4 linked regions of the Alligator mississippiensis genome follow. The protein of the gene in region 3 interacts with the protein of the main gene of each other region in a pairwise test. Links are inferred from orthologs where the notes say so. Each region holds a gene or a part of one and is shown on either strand. Other genes may lie near its edges. The genes, in order: AFAP1L1, LRIF1, GADD45G and EEF1A1.

The links.
Region 1: the proteins of GADD45G (region 3) and AFAP1L1 interact in binary tests that used the Homo sapiens proteins (3 or more experiments, as listed by UniProt). The two-hybrid records come from large-scale screens. The link is inferred for Alligator mississippiensis from reciprocal best matches to the Homo sapiens genes GADD45G and AFAP1L1.
Region 2: the proteins of GADD45G (region 3) and LRIF1 interact in binary tests that used the Homo sapiens proteins (3 or more experiments, as listed by UniProt). The link is inferred for Alligator mississippiensis from reciprocal best matches to the Homo sapiens genes GADD45G and LRIF1.
Region 4: the proteins of GADD45G (region 3) and EEF1A1 interact in a two-hybrid assay, tested with the Homo sapiens proteins (2 studies listed by BioGRID and IntAct). The link is inferred for Alligator mississippiensis from reciprocal best matches to the Homo sapiens genes GADD45G and EEF1A1.

The regions. Positions count from the first base shown.
Region 1 is NC_081832.1:60,634,714-60,642,588, reverse strand, and holds the start of AFAP1L1 (actin filament-associated protein 1-like 1), read left to right. Parts: upstream 1-4,866; 5' UTR 4,867-4,959; coding exon 4,960-4,975; intron 4,976-7,875. UniProt on the Homo sapiens protein: May be involved in podosome and invadosome formation.
Region 2 is NC_081837.1:31,558,585-31,566,375, forward strand, and holds the start of LRIF1 (ligand-dependent nuclear receptor-interacting factor 1), read left to right. Parts: upstream 1-4,790; 5' UTR 4,791-4,906; coding exon 4,907-4,971; intron 4,972-7,791. UniProt on the Homo sapiens protein: Together with SMCHD1, involved in chromosome X inactivation in females by promoting the compaction of heterochromatin.
Region 3 is NC_081826.1:211,290,132-211,297,262, forward strand, and holds GADD45G (growth arrest and DNA damage-inducible protein GADD45 gamma), read left to right. Parts: upstream 1-4,786; 5' UTR 4,787-4,904; coding exon 4,905-4,957; intron 4,958-5,073; coding exon 5,074-5,175; intron 5,176-5,300; coding exon 5,301-5,514; intron 5,515-5,905; coding exon 5,906-6,016; 3' UTR 6,017-6,630; downstream 6,631-7,131. UniProt on the Homo sapiens protein: Involved in the regulation of growth and apoptosis. Mediates activation of stress-responsive MTK1/MEKK4 MAPKKK.
Region 4 is NC_081824.1:63,916,794-63,924,786, reverse strand, and holds the start of EEF1A1 (elongation factor 1-alpha 1), read left to right. Parts: upstream 1-4,986; 5' UTR 4,987-5,087; intron 5,088-5,625; 5' UTR 5,626-5,674; coding exon 5,675-5,818; intron 5,819-6,918; coding exon 6,919-7,098; intron 7,099-7,186; coding exon 7,187-7,483; intron 7,484-7,703; coding exon 7,704-7,854; intron 7,855-7,993. UniProt on the Homo sapiens protein: Translation elongation factor that catalyzes the GTP-dependent binding of aminoacyl-tRNA (aa-tRNA) to the A-site of ribosomes during the elongation phase of protein synthesis.

The sequences.
Region 1 (7,875 bases), on a different chromosome or scaffold from region 3:
AGCCTGGTTTGTAGTAAACTCTCTGGCCTTTCTGAGTGCCTGGCCTCCCTCAGAGCCTCACTTTCTCAGAAGCGCTCGTGTCTGTATATACCAGCTCTACCTTTGTGGTGGCAGGGAGAATGGGTATCTGCTACACATGCAGTGACAGATTTTAGGTACTCTCCTTCCTCCTGCCTCCCCAGCCCTTTCACGTCAGGCTTGGCTGCTGCTTTGTGGCAGGATCTTAGGGAAGGGGTGGAACTCTCCCCTTCCTGCCCATGGTTCTCCCAACTCCCTTGAGGCTGGCCCTCAGCACCTGTTTCAATCCCTGTTAGCAGCAGGATTCTTGGTATTCTCCAGGCACCTACTGGTGTGGGAGGGGTTGTCTTCTTCCTCTTTCAGCAGTCCCAGGAGCTGAGGTTACACTGCACAGGGAAGTGAATAGAGCAGGCCTAGACTACCTCTTCCCCTGTGACACGGGCTGCCTGTGCCCTCCCTACAGCCCTGGACTGTGTTGGTATCTGATGGAAATGGCATGGCACATGACAGCCATTTAGCAGTGATACAGTTTTGTTCTGCTTTCCTTTCCCCAGCTGCCAGCAATGAATATATTTGTGTGCAGCTCAGGGACTGCAGAGCTGAAGAGGGCATTGTGTTGGAAGGCTATGAAGGTTGTTACAGGATGCTCCACTGAGTCTAGGACAGTTGTACCTCTTCCACCTGGCTCTCAGCCTCACGCATTTCCCAGGGTTGGGAGCATGGAACATGCTCCAGTTCTGACTGTAGAGCTCCTGGTGATGAAAGTGCTCACCCCCTGCAATGCAAACACTGCAGTTGTGCCTAGTAATGTAACGAACAAATGGGTGAAAGATAAAGGATGGACTGGGTCTCTCCATTCCCCGCATTAGGAAAACAACCTCCAGACACTAAAACATGGGGGAAAGACAGTACAAGAGCTAGCAGTAGAGCTCTCTCTGGGCTGAGTTTTGTTCTGCACTTTCCCAGAAAGCACTCTGGCAGGTCTTTAACAACACGTGGACGCAGAGAGATTAGACTCATGATCCAAGGCCACGCTCTCTCTAGTTATGCCACATGCTTCCCCAACTCTGATGTTTCCAGACCACAGGGCTCCACCAGTATGGCTCCACCCTGCTCCCCTTGTCCATACCAACGCCAGCTTCACCTCCCATAGTGCCAAAACAGTAGTTTGTCTGTCACCTTCAGTCCCCAGCCTTCCCAGGCCCTTTACACAGGCCTTGCACTTGGCTCTTGCCCAATCATCAGGTCTGCAGAGGGCTGTTGCTGCTGTAAGGGTTGTAAGTGGCCTTGAACCCAAACTCCATATCGATCTAGACCTGAGCCTTGGAGAAGTCAGAAGGGTGCTTTAATGTTGTGGGCCGCATTTTAGATTCTCCATTTAGACATTGTCTTGAACAGCAACAGTCAGTACAGCATCCTCTTTGTTTGTCCAAATAGCTGGTTATGGGAGCTGCATCTCCCTTTTTTATTTCTTTTGCTGGATTTTTTCAGATTTTTTCAGAGTTGCTTAGTGACCAGCAGTATCCTGTTCCAGATCAAATCAGTATTGCAGTCTTCTGCAGGGGCTAATAAAGAATTTTATAAGGACTCTCATCTAACTCTGGGGTAAACTGTGGGTTTTTTGTTGGTTGTTTGGTTTTTTTACTAATATGCTATTTCAACACAAATGCATTTGCCTGCTGCCTTGTATGTTTCTCTGATTTTCTGTGTGTTTTCTTTGGCATGATTTTTTTGGAAAGTCTCAGAACTGGGCACTCCAGTCTATGGCTAGTGAAGCAGGGTCAGTACCCAGTATTGAATCAGTCAATATGTTCTTTCTTATGGGAGTGGAGTAATGTTCTGCTTTCACAAAGGGTATGGAATTAATGATCTAATGGATCTTTTCAATTTTTGTCTGCAATGGTCAGCTTAAAAATCTGCAAGGGATATTTTCTACTTTGGTTTTTTTCATCAGCTGGGTTCTGTCCCTTTCATCAAGTTAGCACCACCACAGAGGCCAGCTTCAGGTGCATGGTGAAGGGTCCCCAGGGAGAGGCTGCAGGATGTGCCTTTTGGGATGTTCTAAGATGAAGATGCCAAACTCATTGCACAAAGAACTGCAGTCAGGAGCTATGGAATCACCCTAGTCCGTAGCCTTGCTTTGCTGGCAGAGGGCACCATTGCAGATCCACCCAGTTGGCACCATGATGATGGAACAGCGGGAAGAAAATCACTCTTTAGCAAGCAGCAGTGGCTCTTTACACTTTTATGCCAGCGTGGAATCAGCTGTGGGATGAAGTGGAGATTGTAATATTGTGCTGGTAATTGCTTCTGTCTACTTTAGTGCAGCAGTAAATGCAGCCAATTGTATTTATAATGATTTCACCTCATAATATAAAACTGCAGCTCCCTAAATCAAACTCAGCTGTTTGGAGCTATAAGGAACCTCAGTCTTAAACAGCAGTGTCAACGATAACCCCCAGGGGATTCACGACTCCCAATATGTTAATAATAATAACACTAACAATAACAGCAGCACTTAACACTTACAGAGAGCTTTTCATTTCCAAAGCACTATACAAATATTATCTAAATATTCTTCACAAATCACTGGTAGAAGAGGCATTTTTATTTGCATTGTAAAGATGGGGAAACTGAGGCACAGAGTTGCTAAGTAACATTACATGAGATCATTGCGGTAGTCTGACTTGTCAGAAGATAACACAGTTGCTAATCCTCATCCCTAGCAGGCGTTTTCCTATTTTGGGGCGGGGGATACAGCAATGTATATGGCCTTCCAGAAAGATCCTGGCAGGATCCAGCCTCACTAGGAACATTTTTAACTGGGAGAGGCTTGCAGCTATGATTTTTCATTTTATTTTTGGACAAATTTGAAGAGCAGGGTGGAGGGGGCTTGTAGGGAAAAGAAAGGGAAGCTTTTGGGCTACCACCTGTGAAGGCTCTGACTGAGGAAGATGTGCTCGAGGTCCTTTATTTGTTCGCGTTGTTCCCTGGTGCTTTATCCTGGGGCATCTAGAGTCTCCAGGATGATCTTCCAGAAGGATGGGTAGAGCAAATGCTCTGAGGTCCTAGGGCCCAACATCTTGCCACCTTACCCTTCAAGCTTAAAGTCCTAATGCATTGTCATAACAGTAAGTATGATACAAGCTTGTGAATCTGGGATTTCTACTCCATAGCCCACAGCAAGAGAGACAAAGGGCTCTCTTCTCAGGTCGAAACACCCAGCTTAAGTGTGATTTGGGAAGGGAGGTATTGGGGATGGGGGTGGGGGGGGTTATGTGAGACAGAATGCCATGAGCCTAAAGATGGGAAAAGTGCATTTCCTTCACTTTTCTAACCTCATCTACCCAGATGCACCCTACAGCAAGAGGTGTGTCAACCAGCTCCTGTTAAAGTCAACAATAAAACTCCTACTGAGCAGGCTCGTGGGAGGTTGGCAGGAAAAGAGATTCAGCAGCCAACTACAAAAAGAAGGCAAAGGGTAGGTGGAGGAAGCTGCTTTCTCGAGGCATGCCTGCTGATGCTTTCAGAAGCAAGTGACCCTAAAGGAACCAAGTGATTTACCCAAAACACAAAAGAGCTGGGGGGGTGGTTCTTTGACTGGAGAAAATGGAGAGAGGACTATGATATATGCTAGTACATGCTAGAATATTTTAAGGGGACAGAAGACATCATATAGGGCTGTCTGTGTCTCGCTAACATCCATATCTGTGTGTTCCCAGGTCTATAGCACCCGAAGGTACATTCACACCAGCCCTTCCTTTCCCTAGGCAAGTCCACTGAAGTCTTAGGAAAAGCCGGTCCCTGCCAGCAAGTAGTGTCTCTCGCATCCTTTTCTCCCCCAGGATCAAGGAGGGGTGGGGCCTGGGGCACTAAAACTTTTTGCATGAAGACCATTGTTCTGGCCGATTCTAATCTGCTAATTTTAGTGCTTTGCAGGCACAACCACAAGCCAGATGGAGCCTAGTTAGTGATTCCTTTAGTTGCTTTGTAGGCTCCCGCTGGAGTCTGTCCCTGTGAGTCTGTCCCTCCGCCTTTAACCACAATTTGAGCTGGGAGGAGGAAGATGGGTTGGCCTTTTGTTTCAAGGGAAGAAAAGACCTTGCTTCAGCCCAGAGACCTAGCAGTTGTTCATTCCTAACCCTTAGGGCTGAGTCCTTGAAGCTTTTCCTCTGCTCCCCCATGCAGAGAAGAATGAGTAACAGGGGCCAGAATGCATCCCTGGCGCTTTGTCCCCATGCAGGCAGATGAGTGCCGTGGACCCCAAAGGGGATCCTGCTGTTTGAGGTGCCAGATCCCCACAATGCGCGGGGAGACGCGAGACCCCAACGGGGGTGACGGACCCGAGTCTTGCAGGGGAAGGACCTTTGGATGGACCGGGGCGCAGCAGCAGGGAGGAAGGAGACTGAACCGGGTTTCCCTGGGAGGAAACGGCTGGCCTTAACTGTGGGGTGCGGTTACTTGGGAGAGCCCCTTTCTCAGCGCCCCTCGCACACGTCTGTCTCCCTCAGAGACCCGGGCGCAGGTGCTGTTCGCAGCCCAGGGCCTGGCAGCGGGGAACCGGAGGAAAAGTCATTTTGTTCTTCAAGCCACCAGTCCTTCGGGGCCCCTCCTTTCTGCCTCCTGCCCCCCAGGGAGCCCTGGGCACAGAGGGGGCTCAGTCGGATTCAGATGCGGTCGCAGAGCAGCCGGGCCGGAGGGGACCTCAGGCCCCAGTGCAAGTCCCCGGCGGAGGGGGGCAGGGGCGTGGGCGCCCCCGGGGCCGTGTGCTGGCAGGGCCGGCCCGAGGACGGGGCGGGGCGCACCTGGCCGGGGAGCGGCCCGCCCTATCCCGGCGAGGGAGGGGCGGGAGCAGGGCACTAAGACCCCGCGTCCCGGCGGCGGCAGCACGGGCGGCGCTGCACGGCCCCGGCGGAGCATCCCCAGGGCGGCGGCGGCGGCATGGAGCGGCTGAGCGGTGAGCGCGGGCGCGGGCGGCGGCAGGTGCCGCGGGGGGACCCGGCTGCGGGGCGAGCCCCGCGCCTCTGCCCGCGCCTTGCTGCGGGGGGTCCGCGGAGGCCCCTGGCCGCACAACAGCGCTTCCCAGCCCGGGCTGCGGGGCCGCCCCGCTCCCGCCTGGCCCCTTATCCCCTGCAATCCGCCCCAGCTTATCCCCGAGGGGCCCGATCGCGAGCAGCCTGCTGTCATCTGAACGCCCATCCCTTTGTGGCGCGGGCGGGAGCAGCCGTGCTGGTCTAAGGACAGAGGCAGGCAGGGCTCGCGGAGCAGATGTGGTATCTGGTATTACACAGTTGGCTGGTCCAATAAAAGAGATCACCTTGACTCGGAGAACCTGGCCATCCCTGAGGACCCTGGTTTCCAGCTCCCAACAGCATCAGCAACGGGGACAGCCTTTGTGAAGGACAGCGCGGTGGCGCTCGCCGGGGTGGGGGCTGCAGGCACTCGCTCTTCCAGGGGAAACCGAGCCCTGCTTCTTCCCTGGTTATTTCTCTCTCAAGCAGCCATTCTTACCCTGGGAGAAAAAGCCCGGCCATGAGGATGGTTGTGGTTTCTCCTGGGAGAGCCACCACTCTGCTGGGAGGAACTGAACGCCTGTTACCAGGTCTATTACAAGGCCTGTCTGTAGGAGGTGAGGGACAGCAGCATGGGCGACTGGTGCCTCCTGAGTCGGGGGTGGGGGGCACTTGCCCCCCCAGCAGCCAGTCAGCAACTGAGGGGGGGTCCCCCTGCAACCAATCCCACCAAGTGGGGGGGGGGTCTCCCTGCGGCCAATCCCTCTGACCCTCAAGTGGCAGCAGCATGCCACTGACACTTCCAGATCAGCATGATTGGATTGCTTCTCCTGGCACCCCCACTTCCTGGCTGGCACTCTCAGGGGGAGCGCCGGCACTCTCGGCTGCCCCCCCCACCCACCCAGGACCACTGGCTGTCAGAGGGTGCACCAGTGCTCTCAGGGGGTGCATGTTCACCGCCGTGCACCTCCTACGCATCGCCACTGGACAGCAGGGCACTGTCTGAGCAGCAGAGGAGGTGAAAGCAACCTGGACTGGAAGCAGAAGTGGGTGACTTGGGGCTTTCCTTTGCTGCCCAAGTTCAGAGATTTGAGATTTGTTTTGTAAAACTCCCATGCATTTTAAGGATCTGAGAGAATAGGCGCAATAAGGAAAGTACCGTTTAAAAGAGGCGATCAACACCTCTTTGCTGGGTCAGTCCCCAGGAAAGCTGCTCTGCCAAAGGCATCTTGCAAACCACAGTCGAGCAGGGGCGGGCAGCAGAGCCGTACTGGGAGGATATGATCACCCTGTCTGGGGCTGCCATGGACACACATTCCAAGAGCACGGCTGTAGTTTGTGGAGCCCGTCTGCAGAGTGGCTGGGCTTTGATTTGTAGTTATAAATAAACCTGCTGTGCACTTGATCCCACTGCTGAAGATGATCGCTCCTTTCTGATCTGGGAGGAGCATCTCTGGACTGGAAGGGAGGGATGACTTTGATGTAAATGCAGTTGATGTAGCCAGGGCTGGTGGGTGCAACAGTGTCTAGCACAGTGGGGTCTTGGCCCAGGGCTGCGGGTCCTAGGAACAATGGTAACAGTAATAAATAGGAGGAAGAGCTGCCCAAAGGGTGACTTCTGTTTGGTAAGGTGAGAATACTCTGAAGTCCAGGAGTTCAGTCAAACAATGCCCGAGTCTTAACCCTGCGTTAGCACAAGGCAGACTCTGAAGGGCGAAGAGTTCCTCTTCCCCTATGTGAAAGGATGGGTGGTGTTTCCTCAGTGGAAATGTGTATGGGATATTTTCTCATTGGGAGTTGCTCAGTGTTTAGAGATGAGTGCCCATTTCCAGTGGGGGGTGGTGTTTGAGAGGGGAAGGCAGCTGCTCTTTGCCTCGCTAACTGACCCAGTCATCTCTCTGCTGCCCAGCCCTCTGGTTTACAGGCCTGCCATGGGTGTTGAAGAGACTTGCAGGTGAGGTCTGCATGATGCTGAGCCCGTTGCTAACTGTTCATCTTTTGGCCGGTCTGACCGCATGTCTACCTCAGCAGGAAACTAGAAATCAGGACTTGGATACTTTCTTCCCAGCTCTGCCACTAATTTTGTCTCCTTTCTCTGCCTCAGTTGTACCTGTAATGTGGGGGTGATACCAGCCTAGCAGAGAAGAGGGGTTTTGAGGTACACGTAGTTAACAAACGGCTGTCCCTGTCGCCCTGTGCACGCAGCCCTTTGAAGTGGTCCTGTGAAGACAGGACCAGCACTTCACACAAGCAGTGTCTGAGTCCTGCTCCCCTGCCAAGCAAGACCTGTGCAATCCTGTTCCCCTGACATGTTGCAGGGACCCTGGGACTCATCAACACTCACGTTCCTGGGACCAGCAGAGCATCAAACTAAAGGGCTGAAGTACAAAGCTGTCAACAGTAGCCCCTGTTCCTGGGTGTCCATTCAGAGACACTTTCAGTCTGGAATAGGCTGGCCTGGGCTAGCCCCTTGGCTGGTGCACCCCTGGAAATCCAGGACAGGCTCTCAACAGAGCAAAATGGGATATCCACGTGTAAAACAGCAGGCAAGAGACAGCTCCTGGAGAGCGGGGCAGAGTGGGGATTGACACTTACTTTAGCAGTAGCTTGTGTAAGAATAGCAGGATCTGTTTACCCCCAGTCTACCCATTCTGCATAGCCTCATTCTCCGAATAAGGGCTGGGGCTCGCTTGTGTTGAGAGCTGCTTTGCTGCCTCTTTCCTAGGTGCCTTCTATGGTAACTCACACAACAGTCATGCTCTCTGCTTGTAATGTTTATAATAAATCGCTGTTGGCACCCGGACTGCTCCACGCGAATGTAAACGTCTTGCTGTCCCTCCGTTTA
Region 2 (7,791 bases), on a different chromosome or scaffold from region 3:
ATCGACAAGATAGTCCTAGGCATTTTATATTAATTTGTGTGTTCAGATAGAATTATTTTCCCCATTCCTCCACATCACTGCCCCAGTAGGGATGTACATTATCTGTTTACACTTTACAGATAGAAGTGTAGCAACATTCACCAACTAATCCTCCACAAATCCTGTGATATAGACCTGTTGCTCCCATCCCACACAGAGAAGTGACTTCTGAAGATCAGAGCCAACCTTGAACCTCTGGTGTTCCTAATGTCCATATCATTCATGTTTTACCTATAAATGTAAAGATTTTTTGTTCACATGTTCTATCATTTCATCTGCAAATGGTCATCCCCAAATGTTGCAGCTCATAGAGCTCTAAAAAGTTTATGAATTTTACTTTTTTTCCTCTCTTTTCTCACTAGGTAATGTAGATGATGCTATAGAAATAAGTCTAAAGTGTGGACACAGAGAAGAAAATTCCAAGGAAGGAAAACTGACCAAGACTAGAGAACTAACATAATCTCTGCAAGGAATTACCCAGCTGGAGCCAAAGAATGGTAAACAGGAGCTCTGGGGCCTTGTCTGGGAGATCATGTGTAAATAGTTTTTTTTTATTGAAATGGGAAAATTCTTTCTACTTAACATTTTATTCTATAAATTGTGCGTGGTTTATGTTCATGAAGTATCCCCAGCACACCACACATTTTTCTCAAATGTTTTTGTTAGTCATTCCATGAATAATTGTATTGTCTGTAAATGCCTCTCAAGTCATTTGTCACAAGCATTCAATATTTGGTTGGACATTAGTTTTTACTGGACACAGTCCCAGGGTATTGCTTGATTTTTGCTGGTGTTCACTCATTTTTATAAATAGTTTTACAATAGTCAGTACAATTGGTTATTTTCTTTGCCAGTTTTCAATGACATATTTAAAAATATTTTAAAATATTAAAGAGTTTACACATCAGCTTTAAGGGTTTGATTTAAAATGCCTTGCAGATTAGGTTAAGAGACTTTCCAAAAAGTTTCTAAAATTGTGCCTGTTCCTCTGCTCCAAACCTGCTTTTGTGTTCACAGTCTTCCATTCAACAAACATGTATATAAGCATGTGTACAGTCCCGTTGGTTTAATACTGGTTGAGTACCTTACTGAATCAGGGCTGTAATACAATTTCTTCAGCATCATTATCATCCATAACAGTTCCTGCAAAATTATAAGATTTTTTTTTATTTAATGCATGGAAATATCTACCTTATTGAAATGGCAGAACTGTAAAATGTCCAGGGGACACAGAGTATGCCATTGCCTGATGTATATGTCATGCTTTTGTTTTAAATGGAATATTAATAATGATTATGATTATAATAATAACAACAGCTTCTGACATGTGCAAAATAGGGTCCTCAGAGAACCTGTCTTTCTGGGAATGGCAAGACCAACTCCAGCAACAATCTGGCGTTTACCCCACTCGCCACAGCACTGCGTGGTAGGATAATGGACTTGAACTTTGAACACGTTAGGAGAACATGAGTGACTGATGAAATCTGATTTATTTACTGAACTGCCACATAATTAGTTGGCATAACTGATTTATTTACTGAATTGCCAAATAATTAATTGGCTTAACTGATTCTTTGAATTAACTGCTGAAGAGTTAATTGGCCTAATTGATTTATTAGGGAACCATGGGGGAAACTGATCAGACTCACTGATTTACTTAGAGAATGACCTGAGATGCTAGGGGACTAATTAATTTATCTAAGAACTTGTGGGTAGAATTAATTGGATGGAATGATTTATCTAATGAACAGCTGCTGAACCTGAAGAGGCTAATTGATTTTGTTGCTTGGCCAGTAAAGTAAGGCTCAGGGAACACAGTACCCCATGGATTGGAAACGAGACACAAGGATAACACTGGGTCGGCATGTGGAAGGGGTGTGAGGGGATGTGGAGCCCCATACGTCTTCCTCATGGGCAGCTTGTGCAGGTTGCTGTTAATGACCAAGAACCCTCCCATTGACATTCAAGAGCAAGGCATGGCAGACAAAGAGAGGGTCAAACCACATGAGTGGACTACACTGAAAGCTAAACTGTCCAGTCCAATGAGTTGACACCTCAAGGGTTTGAGTGCACATGTACGATGACATAAAGCTTACTGGCTACACCTCTCACACCAAGATAGATAAAATCTCCTTGGAAATGGAAATAAACTGTAAAGCAGATCAGAACAGCTCACAAAACTTTACTACAGAGTAAAAGTGATGACCAAGACCAGTTCCCAATTTAATTTTTCACATTTCTTATTGAAAAACAAATAAATATAAGTTGTTCAGTCTCTTGGCCAACAAAATATTATACTTTATGGACCATTTCTTGAACCCCCCACCCTTTGTATGGAAGAACATAGTTATAGTTAACCTTTAATAGAAAAGGCTTCAAATTATAGACAAGCTTCTGAAATATTGGTTCAAAGTATTAACCAAAATTTCAGCAATCTGTTGTGACATAATTAAAACTTATTTACAGAGGTCAGGTAGAACTTATACCTGGACACCATTGCATACATTTTATCCAAAGTCTGTTAATCTAGTTCTTTCAACCCATTTGGAGACCAAATGCCATTCAGTGATATCTCTCAATACAGAAAAAGCTTTTAACTGAGTAGAGTGGCAATACTGCTTTTGGATCAATTAAATAATTACCTTTTCACAAAACTGTTCTCTATTGGCAGGCAGTTAGGTATCAATCACCTCAAGCAGTTTTGGTTATAAATTTGTTCCAATCTCTTCTATTTAGCTTGCACAAAGGGGCAGGGAAGCCCATCCTTCTTGTTCCACTGTGCCCCTTCCTTACATTGCTTGGGATGTAGAAGGAAGCAGACCTGCAAATGTTGCTATTAACTTGAGCAGGTAAGGTCTACATTTTGAGTTTAGAGGGACTATCTTTACATTAGGGTGAGAAAAGCTGCACTGAGCTTCATCCTACCCAGTGCTGCAATCACATCTCCTGATGTCATCAGCAGAGCTCTTTTACTTGATATGGCCTTTATTTTTGTCTCTAACCCATCTCTTAAACATGTAAATCCTTAAATTACCTTTAAAATATATCCTTCCTAGCATGTTTTAATAATATTTTAGCAGTGACCATCCTAACATATTTTTCTATAACACTTAAATAGTAACCATTCTCTTTCCTTCTCCTCTGAGAAGTTAAACCTCTTAAAAATAAAGTACTTCACTCCAAATGTTTCTCCAGTGAACAGTGACGTGGGTCTTCTAACCAGGAGCTACAAACAGGTGTCAGAGGTTAAGTATATCCTACCCTCCCAATATCGCTAATGGGAGGGTGGCCTTGCTAGAGCAGTGGGGAAAAGGCCTCAGGGTAAAGATCAAATCCTGGTCCTCAGGCTGAATGACTCTGGGACAGCATTGGTCCCAGCTTCCCCTTGACACAGTCAAACCATAGCAACTATTGTCCCAGTATCACATGCAGGGATCTGGGTTTTCTGTTCACTGCTTGAGGTGGAGGGGAACAGGACACAGGGGACACCACATGCATGTGTGCACATGCACACATGCATGTGGCCAGCAATACAGGCAGGCAACAGTGGAGAGCAGCTTCCCCAGCTGTCTACAGATAAGTCTATGCGGGGGGAGGGTGCATAGTTGATGCAGGGGGCAACAGGGGGCAGATTGAAGCCCCCCCAGTGAGGGAGAAAGTGAAATAGAGTTGGCAGCTGGGGCTGGAGGCACTGCCCAGCTGGGGCACCGCATGGGGCCTGGGGCCAGGGCAGGAATGTGCAGCCATGGGGCCTGGCTGGGGAGTGGAACGGTGCCATGAGTGGCTTGTTCAGAGGCTGGTGGTGGGGCTGCCTCCCGTGCTTCATGCACTCCCGTGCAGAGGGCATGGGGGAGCATGTGCCCCTCCCCAGATTTCTGTGCAGGGCAAGGGTGGATGTGGCCTGCCCACTGTGGGCTTGGGGCTCCCTGCCCTGCTGCCCGTCCCCCAGGGCCTCCGCGGCCCAGTGGGTGGGACCCGGCACAGGAGGGCAGAGCAAAGCAGGGAGGCTCAGTGTTCTACTTTTGCATTTTGAAAATGTGGTCACCCTACGTTAGAGTGGTTCCAAGATGTCATTGTATGAAAAATAACTAGGTTGATTTTGAGACCTAGTGATCTAGTTTAATCTGTCTGCCATATCCTGTACTCATCAATGGGGCACCTGCATGCTTAACAATTTTTTAAAATGCATTGAAAGGACTTGTTTCGCCCAATTTTCTAGTTCATTGTTAGGCTGTTCTGTTGTGAATCAGTTAAGTCAAAGAAGGTAGTTCTTCATTTTGAACTGAAGGCAGAGGTGCCTGCTGTCATCCTAACCCTTTGTAGAACTGGCAAACTGTGAGCTAGCTCCAAAGGAAATTCTGTGTCCAGGAGCCAAGAGACATGGTCCATGGATGATACTGGGGATCCCCAGAGCCACGTGCACCCTCGGGGGCGCGGGAATAATGTCTAAGAACCCTCATCTCTTGGCAACAGGAAGTCACTTTCACAGACCGGAAGTACTTCGCCTGGCGCCTGCGCAGAAAAAAAACCAAGCGGATAATGTCTCCCCTTCCTGTTCCACTCGCAAGGCGACCCGGAAGCCGATAGGCAGGAAGCCGCATCCCATTGGCTCCGAGAGAAGGACAATGCCGCGGGAGCCAGTAGGATTTGAGGGCGGTCCCCGAAGCCGGAAGTGCGTTGGGGCTGCCTTCTGGTTTTCAAAGATGTTTGGGGAAGTGACGTCAGCGGGCGAGAAGCGGTGGGCGGGGCTGGCTGCAGACCCCGCCCGGTGCCGGAGCGCGGACCCACTCGTCCGTGCGCTCGGGGCTGCGGGAGCGGCCTGTGCGCGGGGCCCTGGAGGGCGCAGCCCGCCGCCGCGCCCCGCGCTATGTCGGGGCCGCCGCTGCAGGCTCCCAAGCGGCCGGAAGAGGCGCCCGGCGGCGCCGCGCAGTGGTAAGTACCCGCGGGCCGGGCCGGGCGGCTGCCCTCGGGGCCGACGCCTCAGTGAAGGGGCAGCTGCCCCTAGCGGACGGAGCGCGCACTGCAGGCCTCACCTCGCCCCGCCTCCGGGACACGTGGGAAGGCGGCTCCGTTGTGACGTCTGGCTTCCTCGCAGCGTGACGTCATGGTTCCTATGCTCATTTGCAAAGTTGGAAGCTGGGGGCGTGGCACGGGCACTTTTCTGCACAAGCTGAGAAGAGCGAAGGCGGCTGACACCCTCCACCTGGGTCCAATAGGCCCCACTGCAGGGGGAGTCGCCATCGGGGGCCGATTTGGCCTTTTTTGCATCTTTTTTTTTTTTTTTTGCATTGCCGGTTCGATGACCCAGGAGCTTGGATGCCGCTGGCTCCTGGAGAGCAGGGTGTGTCCAGGGAAGGCTGGGCTGCTGGCGTCTTGCTGTGCACGCTTTTTTCCATGTGAAACTAAATCGTGTGCTCCCCCCCCGGGTGAAAATGCCATTTTTTTGGTTCTTTTTTCAATCACCAGCTTTCTTTAGTGGTCACTAAACACCAGAGTTCATTTTTTCAAAAGAAAACTCTTATATTACGATCTAGACCTAAGCTGGCCACCCAGAGAGCAAGTGATGTGGCAGAGCAAGCTAAATACTGGCCTCTTGATGAAATTCAGGCCTCTTGATGTGTCATTCCAGAAGCTGGACCAGTGGCCACCAAGTACAGCTAAAAACTCCCCTTAGTAAGGAAGAGGGGGGCACTACGGGCACATCAGTGATTGCTTGGGGCAAATAAAATACAGAATGGGGATGGGAGTGGAAGTCAGAGGTTTAAAACACAAAAATTTGCACCAAGGGGAAACACTGAGCAGAGCACATTGGACAGTTGTCGCTGGCTAAATATAGGCAACAATCTTCCAAAAAAAGAGTGGGTCAGCCTCTGTAACAACAGAGGGGGATGGATGACTGTTCCTGTATGGGAATAGACCCATGTTTCTTCTGTGTACCAAAAAGATGGAGTTAGAGGTCAGCTAATACTATACCTACAAAAAAGGCTGTTCCCAAAGGATGAAGTGATCGGCTACTAGTGAGGGGGGAGAGGCATTCATTTTGCCTCTTATTCCCTTGGGTTCACACGCAATAGGGCTCTGATACTTTATAGGTATCTCTCAACAAGAAGCATCTTCCTCTGTAGAGGAGGCCCTCTGCAGCGCTCTGCCCAGAGTAAGGAAGGGACTGCAAGTGTTACAGGGTGGATCATTTTCTCCGTGGGTCAAAGGCAACTTCTTTTCAGAACATAAGAAGGAAGAAGACTTTTTCTGGACGTCTGATTAAATCACTGCTTTTGATGAGAGAGGGCAGCAACATTCTCACTTGAGCCTTTTTCTAATCAGTCACTCTCTTAGAAAGGGTTCAGAACCTCTTACGGGTGCAAATTGCATCTACTCAATGAAATGCAGGCTTTTAGTCATTGACATGGGCCCTTGTTGTCAACAACTGAGCCAGGGACCCTGAGCTGGTCTTGTCTCCTGGATAGAACATTTATTAAAAGAGGACCTCTACAACGTTATGATGAGCTACATGCAAGTTCTCATTCATAAATTTCCTGCCATAATGGTTACTGAAAAATCAGGGGTACATTGACCTCTCCAGCAAGTGGGATTTACTTGTTTACCTTCAGTTGAAGTTCTGGCATTTTCTACCATCTTTCTTCTTTTTTCCCCAAGAAGCAATTGAGGAAACTTCAACTAATCTAAAATTATATCAACACAAAGGAGATTAGTACACAAGAGCCTCTTCTTTGATCAACTGTTCCAGTGAAAATGATGAGGAATGTTATTCCTCAGACTCAGATCTTGCTGATGTCAAATCAGGACAGTTAGTTTCCCATGGCACTCTTATCAATGGGAAAAATCTGTTGGACAGATGAGTTTAGAAAACGGTAGTCTGGGGTAAGTGTTTAAACTATAAATATTCCAAGAGAACATTATTTTTTAATTCTCAACCTCTGAAAATCCAGAAAAGCAATGGTTTATTTGCAGGGGTCTTTCTATATTGAAATCTTGTGTCTGTAGAAAAGGCACTAGTCAGAATAATGCCTGGATTATATCTGGGTTTAATCATGTCAGTGAAATCCAAACTTCCTTAATGTCTACACGCCGGTCACTACCGTGACTATAGTTTGTGGAGATGCACTTGACCTGGCTACCTGGGGTACCATTCATTAGAGCTGTGCAAGGCTTTGGACAGAGCTTCGGATCTGGAGAAGCTTCGGACGCTTTGGGGTCCGGAGCAGAGCGTCCGGGTTGAAGCGCTGCCTTGTTTGGCTTCCCGAAGCAGTTCGGAGCCCCCTCGGAGATCCAGCTATAGGATATAATGGGGAAACAATAAAATATCTGTAACTTTGTTGTTTTTTGTCTGATTTGGATAAAATTTTCAGGGGTGGAAAGCTCTGCAGAGAGGATGAAGCCTGCCACGTTTCAAGAAGATAGGTGCAGGGGTTTGGGGGGAACTGTACCCGAAATTCTTGAAAGCAAAACTCCTGTCATGTCTATGTGTTACAACACAGAGGGGTCAAAACTGCAGGGCTGGTAGCACTTACTGAGACCACAAAGCCTGCCAAATTTCAAGAAGATGGGTGCAGAGGTTTGGGGGAACTGCCCCTCAAGCTGCGTGCGGACAAGCAAAACTGGTGCCATGGGTGCTTATGGAACTGTGTCTGTCTTGGGGCGGGGAGGGGAGACACTGCTGCAGGCCTGGCTGCTAAGCTGCTGTGTTCCCAGTTACTAATCAATCAATCAATCAATCATGATTCACTCAGG
Region 3 (7,131 bases):
TAAGGGACACTTGGAAGATTGAATATGTGCAGATACACCATTTCAGTAACTGCGTACCCAAATACATACACTTTTTTTGTTCTAGATTACTTTAACCAATCCAGATGTGTTAAATTATTGTCTATTCCTTTTCTTCCCCTCCCTCCAGCATGCGTGTGCACGCACGCATGCACGCACACATGCACGCATGCACACACAAGCTTCGTGATAAGTCAAAGTTCATTAAAATTGTGATTACAGTCATCAGATTGCAAAGCACTGCATGAGTTTAGAACTTTCTGGCCCCATTTACATGAGACGTTTACTATGTAGTAGCTAGTTATGACTGTGCAGTAGTGTTGCGTGGCATGAACTGTGACATGATGCTACTGCGCACTAATAACAAGCTACCACCATGCAGTCAGTATCATCAGGAAGCCACGTGGGGATACCACTGCGCAGTAATGCCGGTTATTGCATAGTCATTCAGTACTTGGGTATGCAAGTACTAAATGACTGCGCAGTAACAACTGCACAGTCAGCATCTCGTGTAGATGTGGCCTTTTGCTACTTTACTACACTTGGAGACTGGAATTCACTATAAGCAGGCCCAGTTTACCTATATACAGAAGTAACAAGCACCTTTTACTTAAGCCATCCTCACTAATTGAATATGAAACTTGCAGCCACTGCTAAAACCAGAGGTTATTCTTGTAAAATGTAAATGGTGCTTACATTCGCAGAGTGCATGTCTGCGTACACCAGAGCTAAATTTGGCCTATTATCACTTTCCAGATAAGTAAACAAAAACAAATTATGATTTGTTCGAGACAGTCCACAGTAGGGGCAGGATTATTACACAGATGTTCCTGGCTTCTAGGCTATGCACATTGTATTAAATCAAATATAAACAAATTATTTGTTGGGGAAAAAAAAAATTTAAAATATTCTAGATCAGTCCTATTTACTTTTGAGTTCTTGGTATTACTTGAAAAATGCTCTGAGGAAAGATTCAGGTATATCTGGTACATGCTGTTATACATCTAGTATATTTTGTATCTGGTGTATACCTGGTATATCAATTAAACAGCAATTCTATAGGAAACTATTGCTGGAGCTTGAAGTTCAGGAACCGACCTATAGCTTAAAAAATCTGGAAATTTTGAGGCCATTAGATTTGCATACTGATGGTGTTGTGTTTGCAACAATAGTAGGAATTAGAAATAAAAGTAAGAGGGTATGTGACAAACTCGAAACCTGTTCAGCTTGAGGAAAACTTCAGCAACAATGGTATGTAGAAAAGCTGAAACTTCTGTATGGACAGGTGAGATTTAGCTCACATCACTTGTGTGATAAGAGAAGCAGGACTGTCTAGTCAAGACAATGCTTGATCTAGGATTTCCAAATAAAATACTGAAAAGGACCTTTTCTGTGGTCTGGATCTTCATACCTTAAGACTTGTAAAGAAAGGCTCTGTGGTAATGGGATACAGAGCCTTTTGTTTCTTGCCTGCTGGATCAAGTCCAGTCCAAGTTAGTAGCGGATAGAAGTCATTAACTGATGATGGCCCTCTCATGGCCTATATAAAGTGAACTGATGCTGGGATCAGTCCACTTTTTAGGAGACAGCTATCCGTGTAACAAACACAGAGGAGATGCCAGTAAGTGAACAGACACAGGGACCAAACTATTCTCTATTCTTTAAACCTGGGATGTCATGGGGAGTCTGTAAAATCTGCACGTCTTTGCCAGTTCTGTATGGATAAATACAAAGCTTCAGAATTTAATTAAGTCAGTCCTGTCTTATTCACCCTAAATTCATTTGGAAACATTCTAGCACCTCAAATTGACCTCTTTTCAAACTGGATGCATATAAAAGCAAGTTATTTATTTATTTATTTTACCAAATCTATGCCCCAGTCATAGGATCCAAGAACTGGAAAGGACCTCAAGGGTCACTTGGACCAACCCCAATCAGAAATTTGAACATATCCAATTCTGTGAAGAGCAGCTTTTAAAACTGATTAGTCTCTCCCTTTAAATATCACAGCCCCAAACCTTTAAATAGAAAGTTACATAACTGATTTTCACTAACCAAAATGAATGAGGGTATATATACTGGAGTTAGTATAATATATGAAAAGAAATGTGTGTGTTGGGGGAAGGGGGTTGCAATATATGATTTAGGTGAATAACTAAAGCATGTTCTGAAAAATCTATATGAGCATCGTATCAGTTGTATTCCGCTTATCTAGGTAGCACAGGTGTCATACACTTACAAATAGCGGCTTCCATGCATTTAATAATTAACCCCGTGGTTTTCTTTTTTCCCCAGAAGAAAATAACTGTCTCCTTTTTTTGCTTAGGTAGCTATTACATCCTGAAGCCACAAGGTGGCAATTCAACTTTAATGTTGATTATTACCATTCTCCTAGAAAATGCAAATCTTAGGTGTGAAAAAACAGCTGTCCCTGTATTCTGTAAGGAGCACAGTGAATTAGACATCACCTTCAGAGAATTTGCTCATAGATTACAGCATCATTTATGTCCCTTACTGCGTTTGCCTACAGTGGCTCATTCCTTTTTCCAGTAAATCCTTCTGCTGCTTCTGCCCAGTGCTTCCAGCAAGGACAAGATGATACAATTCTCAGCAACGGAAGTTTAGGTGAGGTATTAGGAAAAACTCTCTCACTAACAGGGTAGTAAAGCACTGGAATAGGCTCCCCAGAAAGCGTGGTGATTGTGGAATCTCCATCTTTGGAGGTTTTTAAGACCTAGCTAGACAAAGCCTTGGCTGGGATGATCTAGTTGGGGATGGTCCTGCTTTGAGTAGGGGGTTGGACTAGATGACCTCCTGAAGTCCCTTCCAACCCTCATTTTCTGTGATTCTGATTTAGCAGCTGGTGTTTAAATGTCCAGTAGATAGCACTACTAGCCAGCATTACAATGCGGCCAAAGTAGAAGGTAGCAACAGGGATTTCAGGGGAAATGAACAATTAAACTCCATGAACGTAAATGACTTGCAGAGCTCATAAAACAGGAATCAGATTTTCAAGGTAAGCAGGTACATTTGGCCCAGCCTGAGCTCAGAAACCCAACCCTGCTACAAACTATGGCTACTTTTTTGGTGTCCACAAAAACCATCACACACTGTTGTACCTGGGTGGGGTGGAGATTTATTTGCATAGAGCAAACGGATAGATGGTCAGACTGGTATGGATTGTAGGAGTTTTTGCCTTGCTCTGTAGTGGTGGGGCACAGTGACCTACCCAAGACCTCTTGGGCATATATTGATATATTAATCGAAGCAGGACACTGGGTGCCCTGGTTCCCTGGCTTTACCTGTAGCAGGTTAGGGTGCTAGGCCTGTGTTGTGTCAGGGTTGACAGAAGTCTTACATAGTTTAGATTCTGGATTTATGGGATGGTTGGATAGGGATGATCCTGCCTCAGGCAGGAGGTTGGACCAGGTGACCTTTGTAGGTCCCTTCTTGCCCTACTCTCTCAGACTCATCCGTTTCCCTGCAGTTTCCTGAAAGATAAGGGTTAAAACAAAGGGGTAAATGATCAAGTCTTTAGCTTGGAGACGATCATTGCGTGCTCCCCAGGCCTCAACATTCAATTTCAATTGCCCCATGGAAGTGTGGGCAAGTGGAGACATTCATCTGCACCAACAGCTTGGACAGCACCAGAGAGTAAAGCGATTGTTTCCCCCTTGCTCCCCCCCTTGCAGCCCAGCAGCAAATCCCCACCCCAGTGGCAGGTGGACAGTGTTGCTATGAAGGGGAAAAAAAAAAAAAAAAGAATCCATTGTCTGAACTCCAAACTGCCACACGCCAGACCTCCGCCATTGTGCGCCCGCTATAGAGATGCAAAGCAGCAGCGTGTGCCATCCACAATCTGCTCCGTGCAGCGGCTCATTACTCATGCAGGCCCGGTGCCCTCCTTGCTCCAGGCTGCGGGGAGCATCTCGGCAGTGGGGCACAGGGGCAGTGAGGAAAAGAAAAGGGGGGAAAAAAAGTAATTAAAAAAGAAAAGAAGAAAACTAACCCCCCCCAAACCCACAAAATAAAATAAAGTCAATGTTAATAAAATAAAATGCAATGACACAAAAGAAAATGAAATGAAATACATAAAATAAAATATTATAAATATGATAAAAAACCAAGATGCACAGAAATAAAATAAATAAACTATTAAAAATAACTAAAATAAGCACTACTAAAAACAGTCATAAAGTAAACAATGAAATAATCAAAATGAAACAATGCAATAATAAAATGAAACAATCAAAATAAAAGTAACAAAATATAACAATGCAAGAATCAAAATGAAATAAGAAAGAAAAAGAATGAAATAATCAAAAGGTCAATAAGATAAACACAAAAAAATAAGACGATAAAATAAACAAAATAAAAAAAACAAAGAAAAAAATGTCAATAACTAAAAATCAAATAAGCAGCGTGCAAAGGAAAGGGGCAACACTTCCCCTCCCCCCGAGCAGAGATTTCTGTTTGTGGTGAAGCGCAGGCCCCTCTCCCCGGCCGTGCAGCGCGGCGGGCCGCGTGCAGGGTGCAGCTGGCCGGGCGGGTGCAGATGCGGCGCCCCCCGCGCGGCCCCGCAGTCTGCCCGGCAACACCCGCACCACAGCGGGACCCGCCGCCGTGTCAGCGCCCCCCACGTGGCCCCGCGGCACGAGCCGGCCCCGCCCCTCGCCTGCTTTGCATCAGAATACTCGGGCCTGCGGGCCAATCAGCGCCGCGGAGGCGCCCCCAGCTGCCGGGCGGCCTATAAAAGGAGGCGGCAGCGCTGCGGTAGCATCAGTGTGCTTGTGGGTGCCGAGCGCGGGCAGGGTAGGGGCGAGCGTAGCGGTCTGCGAGTGCCGCGTGTGGATACTACAGTCTGTGCCTGCGTCGGCAGCAGCATCATGACTCTGGAGGAAGTTCACGGGCAGGAGCCAGTGCCGGAGACGGCTGATAGGTGAGTGTCTGCTGGGGCTGGCACTGCGGAGCCTGTGGTTGGGGCTGCACTTGACTGGCTGGGGCTGACGTGCGGTTCAACTGGGCGCTGACCCCCTCCTTGTGCCTCTCTTGCAGGATGCAGGGTGCTGGCAAAGCCCTCCATGAGCTCCTGGTATCGGCGCAGCGGCGTAGCTGCCTCACGGCCGGCGTCTACGAGTCTGCTAAGCTGATGAATGTGTAAGTCTGCAGCCAGTGTCCTATTCCCCAGCCTGCCCATCTGTCCGTACAGCCACCTCCCTCCTTGCCTGGTGCGTGGAGCCTGGGGTTAATGGATGTCTGCCTCTCCCTTCCCCCCCCTGCAGGGATCCAGATAACGTGGCGTTTTGCGTGCTGGCCATGGATGAGGAGGACGAGGGGGACATTGCCCTGCAGATCCACTTCACTCTCATCCAAGCCTTCTGCTGCGAAAATGACATTGACATCGTGCGGCTTAATGACACCCCCAAGCTGGCCAAGATCCTGGGGCCTGGCGAGGAGGCGGGCGAGCCCAGAGACCTCCACTGCATCCTCATCATGGTGAGTGGCTGGGCTGGGTTTGTGGGTGCTGTGGGCATGGCTGCCCTCTGCAAGCAGCTTGGCATCTGCTCCATGGGTGCCCTTGGGGTGACACTAGTAAGTGCTTCTGCTGGAGACCCCTTCCCCAGTCTGAGAGGTGTGTGTGTGTGTGTGTGTGTGTGTGTGTGTGTGTTGGATACTTGTCTGATGCTACTTTAGCATGAATTTCCCCACCTCCCTGCAACTTGCCCCACAAAAAGCAAGGTCCTGCTTGTTCCCCTTGAAGGGGATGTGCCAATTTAAAGGGCTAAATCCACTCCTTTTGTGCCAGCATGCTCTCCCAGCTCAGTGCTGCTCTGAGGACCAGGAATGTGTTTACTCATGGAAGCTCTCCTTTTTTTTTCTATTGCAGAACCCCAATGGGGTTGCATGGAAGGATCCAGCCCTTGAAAAGCTGAACTTGTTTTGTGAGGAAAGCCGGAAGGTCAATGACTGGGTGCCCACAATCACCCTGCCGGAGTGATGAATATCCAGTGCACTAAGAAGGCTGAAACCTTTGTTGCATTCTTCTCATGGTGTTGGCTCACCCGGTGTGCAACAAGTTGCTGATTCTGTGGATTAGCTTGGTCAAGAGATCGGATTGAGTCGCTCGGACTGGCACCAAGCAGGCTCTTGTGGAGAGAAGAGGAGGATGGCTCGTGCCAGCAGGTTGGCCCCACTATGCAGTGGGGCTAGTGGAGGGGCTGGCATACTATGGAGCTGAAGGAAGTACTGCAAGTTTCCAGGAGCTGAAAAAACTGCAAGTTTCAGGGTCGAGTGGAACTGTTCCAGAAGGCAGGACAGAAGGTTGGGAATTGGACAAAAATCACATGGAAGGACTGGACAAAACAACATTGTAACTAGGAATTGTTGGCAATGTCTATGAAATATTAGGAGGAAAACTTTGATGGCCTAGTTAGAGACTTGTTACTGTGACGATACAAAGACTTTTATGCAGACTGTCTTGTACAGACTGACTTATCAGGCCTTTTGGCTACTTTGCAAAACTGGTTTGATTAATGCAATAATCATTTTTATTACTACTTATGCTGCTATTGAAGCATTTGTTTTTATAATAAACTGTTTTTTGACAAATAACTTCTGGTGTCTTGCTTACCTGGATAGGGAAAAGCTTTTGGAGATGACATGCATCCTTTTATATAATGTATATTTTCTCTTTCTACCCCCTTTCCAAATGCCTGTTCTCTGGCAGCTAATGCATGGAAATGTGCCTTTACTAGGAAAGACTCTTAGCTCTGAGAAAGTAGCTGATTTTAATTCAAAGCATGGCTCTTCAAAACTGATAATTTGACCTTTCACCCCTTTGCAACAGCTGCTTACCGCAACAGCTTGCAAGACTGAAGGGCTGCATGCTTAATGACCTTGTTTGTCATAGGTGGCTTCTACAGACGGTTTCTTTAGTAGAGTAGTCCAAGAAGACTTGGTTTCAGACTTCCTGGTGTTGCAAGCAGCTTGCTCTCTGAACAAAAAGCTTTGCATGTCTAATATCTACATGTATTTAACCACCTTACTGGGGGGGAAAAAAAAATCTTGTAGCAGCCATGTCTTTGCACTTACTCTCATCAATAACATTATTTC
Region 4 (7,993 bases), on a different chromosome or scaffold from region 3:
TAGTGAGGCCTTGTATAAAGTAAGGCCTAGTAAATTTAGCCTTGAAGTAGTAAGGCCCTGTGGCATAGTTAAAATTACCCTATCAAAGAAATGCAAGGTTTGTACTGCTAACTGGTCAGTCTAAGGACAGTTGAAGTAAAAGGAATCTGAGTGGTTGTACGTTATCAGTATCATTCAGAAGCTTTAAATTAGCTGGAATATCTGGAAACCATTCAGAAGGAAGATACAGCTCTGTGAAAAGGATTAGTTAACTGTTACCTGGATCAGTGGGCCCGTGGACCTTGAGAAGCCCAAGGACTGCATTCCATGGTCCTTCCTGGTACCCCTTTGGACAGTGTCGTTCAGGGACGCCTGACTTCACTGAACTTTGTGAAAAGAGAAGCTTGCTGTGTATCAGGCATCAGAGGGGACTGCCGATAAGTTGCCGATGCAAATTGCTTTTGTCTGTCATTGTTTGCCTTGTTACTACGCGTAGTTGTTTTTGTTAAGTCAATAAAACTTTCTTACCTTTCTCCCCTGACCATTCTCTCAATCCCGAACCCCCTGCAGGCAGCTGGGACACCCTGACAGGCTGTGCTCCCCACTTACGCAACAGGCGGGGGGGCAGGCTGAAGCGCTGGTGCTCCCCCTGCGAACACTGGCTGGGGAGTTGGAGTGCCTGATGAAGTGCCGCAGCCACTTCCCGGTTGACACAATTGGCTGCGGGGGTCCCCCCCCCCCCAATCGATGAGATTGGCCATGGGGGGATTGGCTGCTGGGGGGGCACCAGTCACCCATGCTAGAGGGTCTTGCTACTTGCTCAGGGTCAGACCAATTGCCATACTTGGGGTCAGGAAGGAATTTGTCTCCCATGGTCAAACTGGTATGGACTGTGGGGGGTTTGCCTTTCTCTCTAACAGGTGGCATGGATCTCTAGAGCATATATTGACAATATTTATAGAAGCAGGACATTGGCTGCTGTGGTTCCCCTACTTTACCCATGTTCAGGTGTTAGATCTAGTTGGGTCAGCCTTTTGTGGAGTTATACTCAATAGTTTTCTTGTCCAAGGTAAACATTGACATTTGAGGGGCATATACGGTGAGCCCAAATTCTTGTAAGTTTGATTTCCTCCACTTCAGTATTCTGTTCCAACTAATTAAACGCTCCTCTTAATTCAAGTTGGAGCTTTCAGTTCTACTGCTAAAGATTAAATGGCAGTTATAGAAAGGAGGAGGGACAGAAGACCATTTTAACAAATACCTTGGACTCTTTGCCTGTCTTGTCTTGACTTGATTTTAAAGGTGTGTGCATAGAATGCGGGAAAAATCGAAAGTTGATTTACTAGTATTGTTAGAAGAAAAATCCATTATGCTAAAATTGACAGTTTTTCTGCATCTCTAGAAGATTGCTTTTTTTTTTTTTTTAAAGGCTTCTAAAATAATGAATGTATTTCTTAAAATCTTGCATGTCTTGCAACTGAAGATAAGCTGCTTGGTGTATTGAATTCATGGATTGAATCCCTTTTTCGGCTTCAACAAGTGAGGAGCCTTGTGTCCATATTAAGGGGTGTGATTGGTTTGAGAGTATTCACCAGGGATTTATTTAGCTTAGCTCCCTGTGTTGGATGAGAATGTGGCAGGATCCCAGTTTATGCAAGTTTTGCCTTCTCAGTAAAACAAGTAAGTACATCTGGAGGTGCTGCACAATAAACCCATATTGGATGAGAAAAACTGCCCCATCCTCTACTTTTGGTGGATGGCAAGGAAATTGTAGTAGTATCCTGTCAACAAGAGTTGCTGCTTATTTTGGTATCTGTCTAGCTGAATGGGTGCAACTGTCTCTGTCCCTCAAGGCCTCTTCCTTGCTCCTCCTCTTAAAGAATTCAACCTTTTTTCTCCCCGTCAAAACAGGGGCCCGCTTAGTCTTGTTTGGGACAGGAAATCAGGTTTTTCCCCTTTCCATAACTTTTAGATAAGGAACTTGGTAACTCCTAAGAGTGGCCATAGTGGCTCCTGGGGAGGGGGTTGGAATAAGCCTGCTTTTATGCACCTCTCCACCCTCCCACAGAAACCAAAAACCAAATGACAGTTCTCTGATTAGAGAGGAGTGGAGATATCCTCCCTTCAAAAGCGCAGGTCAACCCACTCAGAGCAACTGGCAGGGCAATAGGAGACATGGGAGAAGTCTGCAATGGAGAAGTGGAATCAAAATAGGCTGGAAAGGCTGGACGATCAGGGTATTCCTGTTACACCCTTTGCTTTTGTGCTGATATCCCATATGCCTCTTCAAGTGATCAAGAGACACTGTCTCTTGTGTTTTTTATGATACATAAGGAATGAATGAAAGAGATTCCTTAGAAGTAAAACCTTAAGTTGAGCTTTTAATACCATTTATAGAACTATTTATTTGTTTGAAAAACAGGTGATCCTTTTAATCTCTCCTCTCTCCCATTCTACACACCAAATTATACTAAAGCAATACCAATACATTCTCTGCTGTGGGTGCCTTTCCCAAACAAACTTTTATATAGAAACAGATGCCACCTACAAACTGAGATACTAAACAAATGCTTTGGGTGTAATTTCCAATGTTTTTATTAATATTTTGTAACTAGTTCCTGACACACTTCCCTGTAAGGTTACTGGTAGGCTTTCTGTCACGAAGCATCACTGTACAGTGTGTAAAGATTCTGTGTACTATATTCAAGGACTAGTGGGACTGACCTGGGTCGTAACTGTGGGGAAACTTTTTAAAGGAAGAAAAGATTGTGTCCAGGGCCTACTTGGTCCACCCGCTACCCATAGGTTTGTTAAGACAATTCTTTTATAGAAAGTACATGAGCAACAGCAACCACAGCATGAAGGAGGAGATTGCTAAATCAAACCAGTTAAGTTTGGAGATTTTAGATGCTGACACACTGAGTTATATGCACTGGCCGTACAAGTCACTGGTCACAAAATCAGTTCACATAACTATCGATGAACACACATGAATGTAGATTACCCAGTTTCACACACCTACATTTTCATAACTTGAGGCTTTATTCAAGTCTATACCAGACAGTCTCAGTCTTTTAGAAGTCCATACCGTACAGTCATATTGCCTAGTATCTAGAAAGTGCACTGAAAGTTTCTGTTGATGTAACCACGTAGTCCATGCCCTTTCATGGGTGGTTATACAAGGTTGGAGTTATACAGGTATGTTCTTCAGTGCACATTTTCCAGCAGGTGACGTTAATTTTCAGACTGTTGTACTACTGCGGGTGGAGTCTACATTTGGTTTATTTCTACATTGCCAGAAGTGAATCAGAGCCAAACGAGAAAATGCTAAGGAGGCATGAGCCATGTTAGAGCGGGCTGCTTTCCTGTTTCTCTTTCTTAGGCTCCTGATACACGTTACGTATATTAAGCAACTGACTAGTGCATCGCACAATAATTTTACATTGGCCACATGTGCAAAGTAAAACCTGTCACAAGTACAAAGTGATTATCACAGAACTGGTTAATTGTGCAATAAATCTAGACCAGCCACACATGCAAAGTAAAGATAAGCCATTAAAAATGACTGTCTGGCTAAAAGAAGAGGCAGCCAGCTACAAGCTTAGTGCTTGAAAATGCGTAACAACGCTATAGCTGGTTTCTGTCCAGCTTTGACTGTGGCAGGGCCCTCATTGTCTACAAAAATATGCTACTCCTTGAACTTCCTGGACCTTAAACGAAGGAGGCTGCACACGAGAGGAACAGGGGAAAACGCTGGCTGTGCCCCGGTCACTCAGTCAGCACCTGCTCTTTGCCAGTGTGGCCCAGACCTGTTTGTTGCACTTGGGGAACAGAAGCCTAGGCCCACCAAAAACTATAAGCCCCCCCCTTTAAAAGAAAGGCCACTGACAACTCAACACGACTGGTTTGGAGAAAAGACAAAAAAAAGGAAACAGAAAAGGATGTGAAATCACAAGTTCAAAACAAGGGATCAGAAGGGAACACCAAGCATAGCAGACTTGCCAGTGCCTGCTGCATGAAATGGGGTGCCTGTGGACACGGGCCAGTGAAACCGTGCCACAGGATGTGAGTGAAGACCACCCCACACTCACGTGAGTTTCCCAGGCCAGAGCCTGGCCTCATGCCTCCTTTGCTGTTAGACATGTTGCTGTCTTGGCCAGGGCCAGGAGGAGGTTGACCAATAGGTCCTGGGACATGGTGAGGCTGCAGGTGGCGACTGTGCACACGGAAAGGTGCAGCTCCAGCCTCCGCAGGACTTTCTGGGGTGAGAAGGGGTTGCAGCCTGGCGTGCTGGGGCGGGTGCGCACCGTCCGCCCCCCAGAAGAGCCATGAAGCATGTCTCCGTCCCTGGAGATGTTCACCAGTCGGCTGGACAGGCACCAGCCTGGAATTTAGGCCAGGTTTGCTCTGGCCTAAATGGTCCCGTGAGGCCCCTTCCAGCCCGGCCTTCCTACTATCTGCTGCCCGCCCCCAAAAGCAGGCACCAACTGATGTATCTCTGAGCGAAGGAACCGGTTTGGCTGCAAGTGAAGCACGCGGGGACCCAAGTCTGAGCCAAAAGAGGAAGTCTGCTCGGGGAGTCGGCCCCCACGGGGATCTCGCTTCCTCTCCCGAGGCGGCGGCGGCGGAGAAACGAGGGTGCCTCAGTCACCTCCGACCCAGCCACCGGCGAGGGCAGGTGGGAGGAGACGGGCCGCCTCAGCGCGGAGTAAGTGCCGCTCCCCGGGCTCCGAAGCGCGGCCCCGGGCGCCCCCTTGGGGACGCAGCGGAGGGGAGGGGGAATGGGGGATGGGCCGCGTGGCGGGGCCCCACCCGCGCAGGTGCTCTCCCGGCTGGGGGAGGGGCGCTCGGGCAGGGGCCGTCGTCAAAGTCCGGGCAGGGAGCGCCGACGTACGGCTCCGGGATATACCGCTGCTGACTTGAGGGAAGCAGCCCCGCCCCATCGCAGTTGGGCGGCGCTCCCTGCCGGCCCGGAGGGGGTGGGGAGGGGGAGCGAACGGAACGCTGGGAGCCGTGACGTATCCGTGGGCCCCGCCCCGCCAGCCTATATAAGGCCGGGCGCACACGCTGTCGGTCTTTTTCGCCACGGGTTTGCCGCCGTCTTGTAGGTAAGCCGCGGTGGCGCGGGCCAGGCCCGGGGCGGGCACAGTGGCAGGGGCGGGTGGGGCCCCGCGAGGGGGGGGCTCTGGTGGGGCCAGGGGCCGCGGTGCCGGGGAGGGGCGCGGGGGGCGCCACAAAATGGCGTCGGGTTCCTCGTGCCGGGGTGGGGGCGTAGCACGTGGCCGCCGCCCTTCCCCCCCGCCTCTTAGCGGGGTCTCAATTTTTCGCGGAGCGGGAGCGGGGCGGGGGGCGCGGGCCGGGGAAGATGGCGGCTCTTCCTGCCTGCAGGCAGCGCCACAAAATGGAGGGCGCGCGCGCGGCCCGGCCGGGCGGGACGAACCGCACAAAGGAACGGGGCGGCCCCGCCTTCCCGCGCCGCCCTGGCGCCGGGCCGCGGCCCCCTCCGGCCGGCGTGGGGGCGCTGTGGCCTGGCCGGGCCGCCGCCGCAAGGGTGGGTGGGTGGAGCCGCGGCCTTGCGTCAGCCGCTGCCCTCGTGGTCGCCGCCGCCCGGGCTCCGGGGTGACTCCAGCCTCTTCTGGCCCGCAGGTGCTGATTTTTCTGGGAGAAGGGAAAGCCTCACTCGCCAGCCGCCGCCATGGGCAAGGAGAAGACCCATATCAACATCGTTGTCATCGGCCACGTGGACTCGGGCAAGTCTACCACCACCGGGCACCTCATCTACAAGTGTGGCGGCATCGACAAGCGCACCATCGAGAAGTTTGAGAAGGAGGCTGCCGAGGTGCATCTGCGGGGGAGAGGGGAAGGGTGGTATGAGTGGGTATTTCCTGGAGTTGGGGGGTCTCTTTCATGTGCTTAGCAGAAAGCATTGTCTTGCCCAACTTAGAAAAAGTGCTGGTGAGGTGGCAACTGCTTGTCTATATGAGCCGGGAATCTTGTTCCAGGAGAATTCCAACCTCTGTTTTTAGCCTTGATGAACACCTTGATATTCTCTGCCCCCAAAATGCAGTTGCTTGCTGCAGTGTTGAAAAAGGCCGTGTCTACTCCTGGAGCCATAGGCTCCTAGAGAAGTCGAGCTGGGAGGGACCCCCAGAGGTTGTCCAGTGCATTGCTTTGTGCTTTCAAGCTACTAATACAAACAATAAGGTTGCAGCAGGGCAGTGTTGGGAAAGCCACCCTGCCTCCCCTCCTGTGCTCCCCCTGCTATAAATGGGGAACCAGGAGGAGCATGACTTGGCCCAACTTGTGTAGCTGGGAATTGTTCAGGCAGGCTGTATCAAATAGTTGATGAGTAACTGCTGTACTCCAAATTTACCTTTTTTAAAAGTGACTTATATGGGGCTTTGTCTTTAAAACTGAGTAATATTGGAGGATATTGCATTTGTTCCAAATTTATCATGCAATATCTTTTTTCTTTTTTTCTATTTGGACTATGCCTCAATAAGAATGACTCAGTAGGTGATGGCATTATGCTATCTGTGTAAATTCCAGAGGATAAACGCATACAGGCTAGCTGTGGGAAGGATTACAACGGTATGAAAACAAGCTTCCAGAGGACACTTGATCTGATGGACCTTGTGGAGCCAAGCTAACTTTAAAGATGTTAGTTGTAGTTAATGAGTTGTCCAGGGCTAAAGTGACATCAGGTTAAATAACAGAAGACAGATGGAATCTCTCACTAGTTGTGCCAAGTGTGTCTAGGCCAAAGCTGTGCTGGCAGCAGAAATCCCTAGTGCAGTAGAAGCCATCTGCCACTGTAGACTTTTTTTTTCCTGTCCCTTGGCTATCCTACAAATTGGGTTCCTTTTTAAAACTGCCACTTACAAAGTATAATGCAAGTATATCAATGACTCTTGTTTGTTTGCTTGTTTAATCTCCTAGATGGGCAAAGGTTCCTTCAAGTATGCCTGGGTTTTGGACAAACTGAAGGCTGAGCGTGAGCGTGGTATCACAATTGATATTTCCCTGTGGAAATTTGAAACCAGCAAGTACTATGTCACCATCATAGATGCTCCTGGACACAGAGATTTCATCAAGAACATGATCACTGGCACTTCCCAAGTACGTAAAATGAGAGAATTCTAGTGCACTTAGTTTTTTGTTCTTTATATGCATGTAAATAGAAACTTAATACTTCTCTTTTTCAAAGGCTGATTGTGCTGTCCTGATTGTTGCTGCTGGTGTTGGTGAGTTCGAAGCTGGTATCTCCAAGAACGGGCAGACCCGTGAGCATGCGCTTCTGGCATACACACTGGGTGTCAAACAGCTCATTGTTGGTGTTAACAAGATGGATTCCACTGAGCCACCTTACAGCCAAAAGAGATATGAGGAAATTGTCAAAGAAGTCAGTACTTACATTAAGAAAATTGGCTACAACCCAGACACAGTGGCTTTTGTGCCAATTTCTGGCTGGAACGGAGACAACATGTTGGAGCCCAGTGCTAATGTAAGTTGTTTGCTTATGGGGGGGGGGGTGTTCCCTCCTTTCTTTGAAGGGGACTATTGTGATACATTCTTCACCCTTTAGATGAATCTATGCACCTCAGTCATATTAGGCTTAGTTTTTAAACTGATAATTAAGTTACTTGGATGTGTTTTAGGATATTAGAAATGGATTTTTTAGGAAACGGGACAAATTTTAATGGTTGCATCTTATTTTGCCACAGATGCCCTGGTTTAAGGGATGGAAGGTCACCCGTAAGGATGGCAATGCCAGTGGCACTACCCTGCTTGAAGCTTTGGATTGCATTCTGCCACCAACTCGTCCAACTGACAAGCCCCTGCGTCTGCCTCTTCAAGATGTGTACAAAATTGGCGGTAAGGTGTTTTTGTGTGTGGGGGAGGGGAATAGGTTGTACCTTCTCCTGTATCTAATTTGTTGGTGACATTCCATTCCATAAGTTTAAAAAAAAGTGGTAGTAATTTCCCTTTTAGTGAGAGACTGTAACAAACCGGT